Linked DNA regions of Oryzias latipes. The protein of the gene in region 1 interacts with the protein of each later gene in a pairwise test. Links are inferred from orthologs where the notes say so. Each region holds a gene or a part of one and is shown on either strand. Other genes may lie near its edges.

The links.
Region 2: the proteins of banp (region 1) and ppic interact in binary tests that used the Homo sapiens proteins (3 or more experiments, as listed by UniProt). The two-hybrid records come from large-scale screens. The link is inferred for Oryzias latipes from reciprocal best matches to the Homo sapiens genes BANP and PPIC.

What each region holds. Positions count from the first base shown.
Region 1 is NC_019864.2:22,003,292-22,006,944, forward strand, and holds part of banp (protein BANP), read right to left. Parts: intron 1,520-3,653; coding exon 1,361-1,519; intron 1-1,360. UniProt on the Homo sapiens protein: Controls V(D)J recombination during T-cell development by repressing T-cell receptor (TCR) beta enhancer function. Binds to scaffold/matrix attachment region beta (S/MARbeta), an ATC-rich DNA sequence located upstream of the TCR beta enhancer.
Region 2 is NC_019867.2:29,491,230-29,495,349, reverse strand, and holds the start of ppic (peptidyl-prolyl cis-trans isomerase C), read right to left. Parts: upstream 2,898-4,120; 5' UTR 2,784-2,897; coding exon 2,688-2,783; intron 1-2,687. UniProt on the Homo sapiens protein: PPIase that catalyzes the cis-trans isomerization of proline imidic peptide bonds in oligopeptides and may therefore assist protein folding.

The sequences.
Region 1 (3,653 bases):
AAAAACAAAACAGTCATTGTTGCATTTAATTGTTACATTAAATTGGGAACTGTAGTCTTTGTAAAAAAAAAAAAAATTAAATAAAAGGGGGGAAAATGTGCACAAAGAAAATGAAAACATTCGTGCCATCACACCTAACGTGAAGCAGCTCAGCTAAATTTCTGCGCTTTGTGCGCCAACCCACTAACCAAGTTTGCAGAGGCCTCTCATCACCCCATGCCTGAAAACCCACAAAGAAGATATTATCCTCAAACACATAAGCACAATTTCAAATGTTTGCTTTTAGGATTTCAATACCCAAAAAAAACAAAAAACCTTAGGAAGGCTTTTTGGACAGATTTGTTTCAAATCCCAAAAAGAAGTAAACAGACAACTTTGAGCGAGACAGCAGAATGCAGACTTTGTTTCCGAGTAATAAAGAACATTCATCAGATGTTGATTTTCAAAGTAAGACTTTCTCTCATCTTTCATTGTTACAGCTGTGTACCATATTATGTAAATAACTATTAGGACTTTCATTTACCAGATAATGAAGGATGTGCCAGGTGGTTCATGTAGACTCAACCTGACAGTTTGCTAATAAATAGGGGTTTGGAAAGCATAAGGAGTGCCTCTTAATGCGATATTAACATTCTACTTCACTGAATACAGAATGCACGTGTGTGATTGACACGTTGATAGATGCACCATGTGAACTAACATTTGTGGAATGAAAAGACCTGACAAATGCACCCCATTGTGTGTGTGTGTGTGTTCACAGGATTTGCGAGTTTCTTCATTTCCGTGATCAGAGGTGAAAGGTGACACCTCACTGGGAGGGAAGGACAGAGAGCATTGTGTGTAGATTACAAACATCTGCACTCATCCAGGCTGTAACAGACTGCACTTAGGTTAGGATTCAGAAATTGCTTTCATATAGCAGATGAGGTAAGACAAAAGCTCACTTCCTGCCTAAAAGAACTGGTTGTAAGAAGAAAAAAGGTTCCCAACTTGGGCGGTCTGGAAAGAAATGACTTCTTTTTGTAGGGAAAAGGTGGCTTTTCTTAGCTGCAAAAGGAAAAGGAGGTTTCGACAGGATCTACGGTGATGCTGAACCTAGTGGTGTGTCGTTGGATGACAAAAAAAAACTACATTTTATAATGTTTTTGTAAGATGATTTTAGACCAAGTAACATGTCGGGTGGTATTTTTTTTTTTAATATCCATACTAAAAATGATGTTATTTAGCTGTACGTAAAACCTTAAGATTTAAAAAAAAAGTCAAATTAAATTCCCCTTTACACACTTTAGTTGGTCTAACAAACTGTCAAAGACCGTTTTCTAGGATATTCATGCTAAAGTTTCCTAATAATCTCTTTTACCTGCAGCCGAATTACGAGGCGTGCGTTTGGAGAAGCTCTTGACCGCCAAACTCTGACCACGCTGCTTACGTCTCCAAGCAGTGCGACATTTTGAATCAATGCTCTGCTTGATCCGGTACCAGTCCGATTCAGAGATGCCAAATTTATGGAATAAGTGGCCTGTAGAGAAATGGAGACATGATAGAATTACAGATACAGTTTAAATATAATAGGCAGAAAAAATATAAAATTAACTATAAATACATGAGGGAAGCGCAACAAAGAAAAAATAAAGATTTGACTTATGTGGATTGTTCTGTTGTCTGGAAACACCTGGCTGTGGAGATTTGAGGAAGTTCTGGATGGGACGTTGGAGGAAAGACTGCTTAAGATTAATTGCTAAAGCTGTGTCTGGAGAGCGCACCGGCATTTGTTTCACTGCTGGCGACCCTTTCTAGCAGAAACTGCAGCCGCAGTAATCCTCTCGGCATCATCAGAGATTTAGTTTTGCAGAAACGATAGCTGCACATGTAGGTCTTAGTGCTGAATGTTTTCCAGTTTCCAGCTTGGAAACACAAAAGGAGTCAGACAGCAGTTTGACAAAGCCTGGATTTTATTGCAAGAATTCATGTTCCTGCTCCCCCGATCAAAACCTTTCCATTTCTGATGATATGTTTGAAAACTATTGTTATTCTATCATTTCTCTAATGATTTCTACTTTCATTAGAGGTTTAAAGGGTCATCATTTGATTTGATTTGATTTAATTCATTGAATCTCTGATTTATTTGGAATTTTGATTTTGAAAGAGTTTTCACAGATCTAGTCGTTTCAACTAAGGAATGTTATGGCATTCATTACGAAAATCATTTCAATTCTTAACGTTGACTTTAAAGAAATTTACAGCAACAGCATTTTTCTGTTGCATTTTCATAAAATTACCTTTTTTTTAAGCTCATCTGAGAATTTTATAAATAGAATAGCATTGTGCTATGAAAATAAATTGATTAAATAAATGTAATTCAGTTTAGTTATATTATTGCTAAGGAGACTCTGGGAAAGGCTATGTATGAAAACAATCAAATTGCCCAAATGTTAAAAAATAATTATTCTTAATAATAACAAAAATAATACAATTCACCTAACAGTAAAAATGAATCATCTTCACCTTTCACACCTGCCGGCAAGTTAGCACAGGCCTGACTGTCCTGCATCACCCTTTTAACCTGAACTGCTTGACAGCTCATTTCTATGTAAGCTATGGCAAAGCACAGCATTTCCAACCTGAGGCTAGAAAACTGAAACAAAAGGAGAGCTGAGGGATCTGAAGCTTCTGGAATCAAATTATATAGCAGCATTTGTTTGCACATGATGGGTCCTGCAGAGGCAAGCAAAGCAGGTGCACCTTCAATCCCTTTTTCTTTCCTTTTTTTTTTTTTGGGCGAGGCAATTAGATCCTACAAAAGTAACCCTGTTTCTACTGCAGTCTCTACACGTGCCTGCAACCACAAACACAAACTACCAAGAAAAAAAGGCTTATTTGTTTTTCAGATATCAATTCATTTGATTTTTTCGCTAATTTCTAAAATGTCTCACTGTGTTTTTTTTTTTTAATATGTGGGTGGACTTTAACAAAAGTCCTTTGAAAAAGACATTCAGAATTATGAGTTTGTATCCTGTTACAGCATCTCCAGTTAAATGTGAACAAATGGTGGAAGGACATACTATGCTTGAACTCTTCTTTCAACCTCAGCACAGCTGATCCACTGCTATGAAGTTAGTGTGAAAGACAGATTTAGTTTTGAATCAAAAACATACAGCCTCCCGCTACCCAGTGTTGAAGAGTAAAAGAGCCAGAAATATGCATCGCTACCCAACCATTAGACATGCACTTCAGAAAGAACTTTAATCCCACATGTGTTACCGGGTAAGATTTACTAAAACCAAACCCAAGTGGGATACACCATGAACTTTTAAACTGCCACAAAAACCATATCAATGTACATTATATGGCCAAAGGATTTGTTTACCGATGAATCTATTCAAGTCCAGACTTTTTGATCAGAAATCAAAGTTGACTGAATTTCGAGTGACTCCATTAAGATATTTCTACCGCACATGTGCATGTCATTTAGAGTCTGGAATGTAGTCAAATGTGTTACACATTAATGTGAGAGCAATGATGAATGCATGTTGTTATAGGCCACCTTGGGAATACAGACTGCAATCTATTTCTGTGTCTTATTGAACGCTGCTTTGTAATGGAATTAGGATGAAAAGTATGAAGGTCTTGGAAAGTTCAGTTACTAAATAACA
Region 2 (4,120 bases), on another chromosome or scaffold:
CCATCCCTAATTGTTATAGAGACGTTCTTGTACAAAACATCCCCAAAATCCATCACAGGTAAGAAGGTTGCACATACCAGAATATTATGAGGGGAAAGCAGGATTAATACTTGCTTATACTTGGATTACAGACAGCAGAAACCCTCGTAAGCGGATAGACAGTCAGAGAAGTTCCTGCAGGTGAAGGTAAGCAAAGATCTGCAATCCAAAACTCAGACTTATGGACACTGAACATGGAACTGAAAAGGGTTTCTCTGTCATAATAAACTCATTTCTTCTTTTACATTTGGACAGATTTGAATCTATCAGCATGACCGAAGGTCGTCTTCAGTGGTTCAGGGGGGAGGGGGATGGCGTGGGGATAGGCTCTTGCACACTCTTCTTGCCACGTGATTTTCATCTTAAGGCCACAGTCTCTATTCCACCGCTTCTTCAATGAATACTGTATTTCCAATAAACATCATGTTTGAATAGGCGTTCGTGACAAATAAACACCAGGCTCCATAGACCATATTTAAATGCCGGAATGTTTTAAATAAACACCTGGGCTACTACTGGAGGATATACGGTTCTGTACTGTATTGTACCTTATGCAATCCCAAGATGTATGTGTGATTGCCTGAGTTTGGAGCTAGTTGTATTTTCCTATGTTCTGCAGGGGACTTGTTGGTCTGATGATGTTGTTGTGCTAAATTCAGACTGCTGCCGGCCACTGCTCGAGGCATTGCTGGAAAGAAAGTTCAGTAGACAATCAATGTACCTGTTTTTCATGCTTACAGTAATACCGTATTCTGCTTTAATTATACTGTACTGCTGTACTTATAATATCAAATCCTGACATTTTCATCAGGGGTTGTTGTCTATGGGACCATACTGTCTTTTACTAATAAATGAACCCAATTTCCCATCACCATTTTGTCTGCTAAGCTGATAATAGTCAGTCTCCAACAACTCCCGATGTCAACACCCTGGGCTGTTTGAACTTTTTTCTTTTTAACAAAGGTGGGGCTACTCCTGGAAGATATTTGGTTTCCTGGTTCTAGTTTGGTACTTAGTTTGCTCCCAACTGGTCTTTACTAAATTGCTGGTTTAAGTGTTCAGACTAGGGCCTCACTCTTTTTTTTTTTTTTGGACTGACTCTTTCAAATTTGGTCTCTTAATGGAATTCCCTGACCGGACGGATGTTTTGGAAGCTTGATTTCCAGTTTAACATTTTTTCGAGTGCAGTAATATTAATCGTTTCCACAATGAAGCGCAGAATCTGCCGTTATGCAAAACTGTTTTCCTTCGCTTCTGAATCCGCTGATTCATGTTGATGGCGTCAGAGTTACCATCTGTCAAAGAGTGAGAGTTATTCAGATGTCATCGGCAACACTTCCAGAATGAAAGGGTTAAACCAGGTAAACGCTGGTTCATTTGAGGTAGGAAAGAGGTGACAATCAGAAGCCATGTCTGAGGCTATGAAACCAAAGAACCTGAGGCAAGTCAGGTTTGTGGTTCAGAGTTTTGGAGGCAGCAATGTGGAAACAGGTCAGGGTTGTTGCTGACCATATCTGTCCCCTCCTGACCACTGTCTTCTGATGGCTCCTTCGAGCAGGAGGAGGTTCCATCTGACAGCTGGTCTCCTTACAAGGAGTTCATGGTCCTTTTAGGACCTCAGTCACCAGATCCAAGTAACAGCTGCTAAAGGCCGTCCCACAGCCACAATGGACAGTTCTGTAACAGTTCGGTCTTTCATGATACATGCGGGATATCAGAATCAGAATCAGAAGTACTTTATTGATTCCACACGTCTGATATTTGTGCGTTACAGAAGCAGAATTGTAATCATAAAAGAAAATAGAATAATATAAAAACAAAATAATTGTAGAAAAATAAGGTGGTATAATTTAAAAACTATTTACAAACAGTACAGGCAAAAATGTGCGTAATTCATTAGCGTTTCTTGCTTTCATCATAAATGTGCGTACATGTTCTTTGCATGGTTTATTCGTACTTCGTCAGTGGTTTTAACGTGGTTTATTCGTGTACATCTCTTAAGATTTCACCTCAACTTTACTCACTTTCTCCACCTATATTCACATTTGACCATTTTTAATCTGTGCAATATGCGCAAAATGTACGTAGTGGCCTTTAGTGGAATAACCAACCATGAGATGTTTTCCTGCCAGCATGGACAAGCTTTGTTCTATGAAAGTCTGGACCAACTGAGATCTTCTGAAGTGAGTGTTATTGTCTGTAGATTGATCCAGTTGGAGTATTATATTGACCAAACAGGCATGAAAAATGAGCAGTTTTCCTGAATAAAATCTGTTTTCTGTTGGTTTCTATTGTTGAGTTGATCTGACTGAACATTTAAAAGAAAAAAAAAAAAACTTGAAATAAATTGAGGTCAAACTGAGGCAGCAAGCGCGCGTGCACGGCCCGCGTGAATATCCTTTCTAAAGGCCACGTGTACAGCTGTGTGTTTACGCGCGTGAGCGTGCTCGTGTGGGCTGTCCTACATGCTCACATTCTGGAACAAATCTGCGCACACGCGGGCAGACACAAGCGTCTGCACAGTCACGCGCACTCACGCAACCACGATAGAGCATTGCACGCGCGTCAAGAAGCCCGCAGCTGCTGCATCACCGACGGAGAGGCGCGTGCATGAAACGATGCGGTGCTCCTGCCGTCACGTCACCCACCTTCTCCGTGACCCTCGGTCCTCTGCGGGACGCCGCGTGCAGCCAGGAGGCGGAGAGGAGCAGCAGGAGGCCGCGGAGCACCGAGCCCACATCCATGCTGAGGGGAGCACCGAGGCGGAGGCAGCCGGAGCCGCTGACAGGCGAGCCCGCAGACGGAGCTCCGAACCCCGTCACAGCGCTGAACCACGCCCCCTGTGGGCCGAGCCTGGATCAGAGCCCCGCCCACCGAGGAAGAGGAGGACGAAGAGTGCCGGAAGGTAGCAGAGAGAAACGGTAAAATAAAGGAAACGTGAAGAAAAACAGAAACATAGTTGAGAATAAATTGAGTAAAGATCACCACGTTTATATGTTCTGCGTTCAAGTGAAATTCAACTTCAATTGATTTTTTACCGTTTTTAGTCTGTTCTAAGGCAATGTACGGTGTATTAATATTTTCTTTATGGGATTTGTTTATTTATTTGACATTCTTAAGTTGTTTTCTTTTGAGTTTAATTTCATTTACTTTCTGTAGCGTTAACCAAGTTTAGATTTGGGTGACCTTCGTTGAGATGTGTATGTTGGAATAAAAAAAGGATCTTCTCACTCATCTCAATTCTATGGAGCCCGTATCCTGACATTAAGATATTAAAATGTATCTTGTTCCCACGGATTAATATCTTGTTCCCACAGATTATTATCTCGTTCGCACGAAATCCTATTCCGTTCCCACAAGATACTATTCCGTTCCCTCAAAATGATAAACTCGTGCGAATGCAATAATTATTTCGTTCGAACGCAATAAATGATTAACTCGTGCGAACGCAATAATTATTTCGTTCGAACGCAATAATTAATCCGTTCGAACGCAATAATTATTCACGTCATAAGTCATTCACGCGGATATGCTATCTGTACGCCGGCAAAAGCCACTTTCAGCGGGAACTTCCGTGTCTCTGTGACCCACATTCGTTCAAAAAAGGAACATGAAAAACAAAAATGATCACTTTATTACTGTCTCAATGAATATAAGAAAAATATCAAAAGATTTATGATAACTAGGCTGCTTTGTCATACGATAGCTCCTGCTAGGCTACTACTAGCGCCGCCGCAGAGCTCTTTGACGTATGCCGGCATTTGGGCAACTGGCTGGTCGGTTGACAGACAGACAGCTGATATTGTAGTTTAGGGTCGAATAGGAATAATAATATTCAGGACTTGTATTTGATTAACTTTAGCAGTCAGTCGCTTTACATTCGAAGGCTATTAGGCTACATGCTAACTAACTAGCCGATCATTTATCCTGTTATTAATTTACGTCATAGATTTACAGCAGATACCTTCACATTTCTGTTTGTCAAGACCAATGATTGGCCGCTAAGCATGCTGGGAAACGTGACGTACATCGAGACAATATCAGATCGACCATTCTTGCTTTTATTTTTACCCCTATTGAA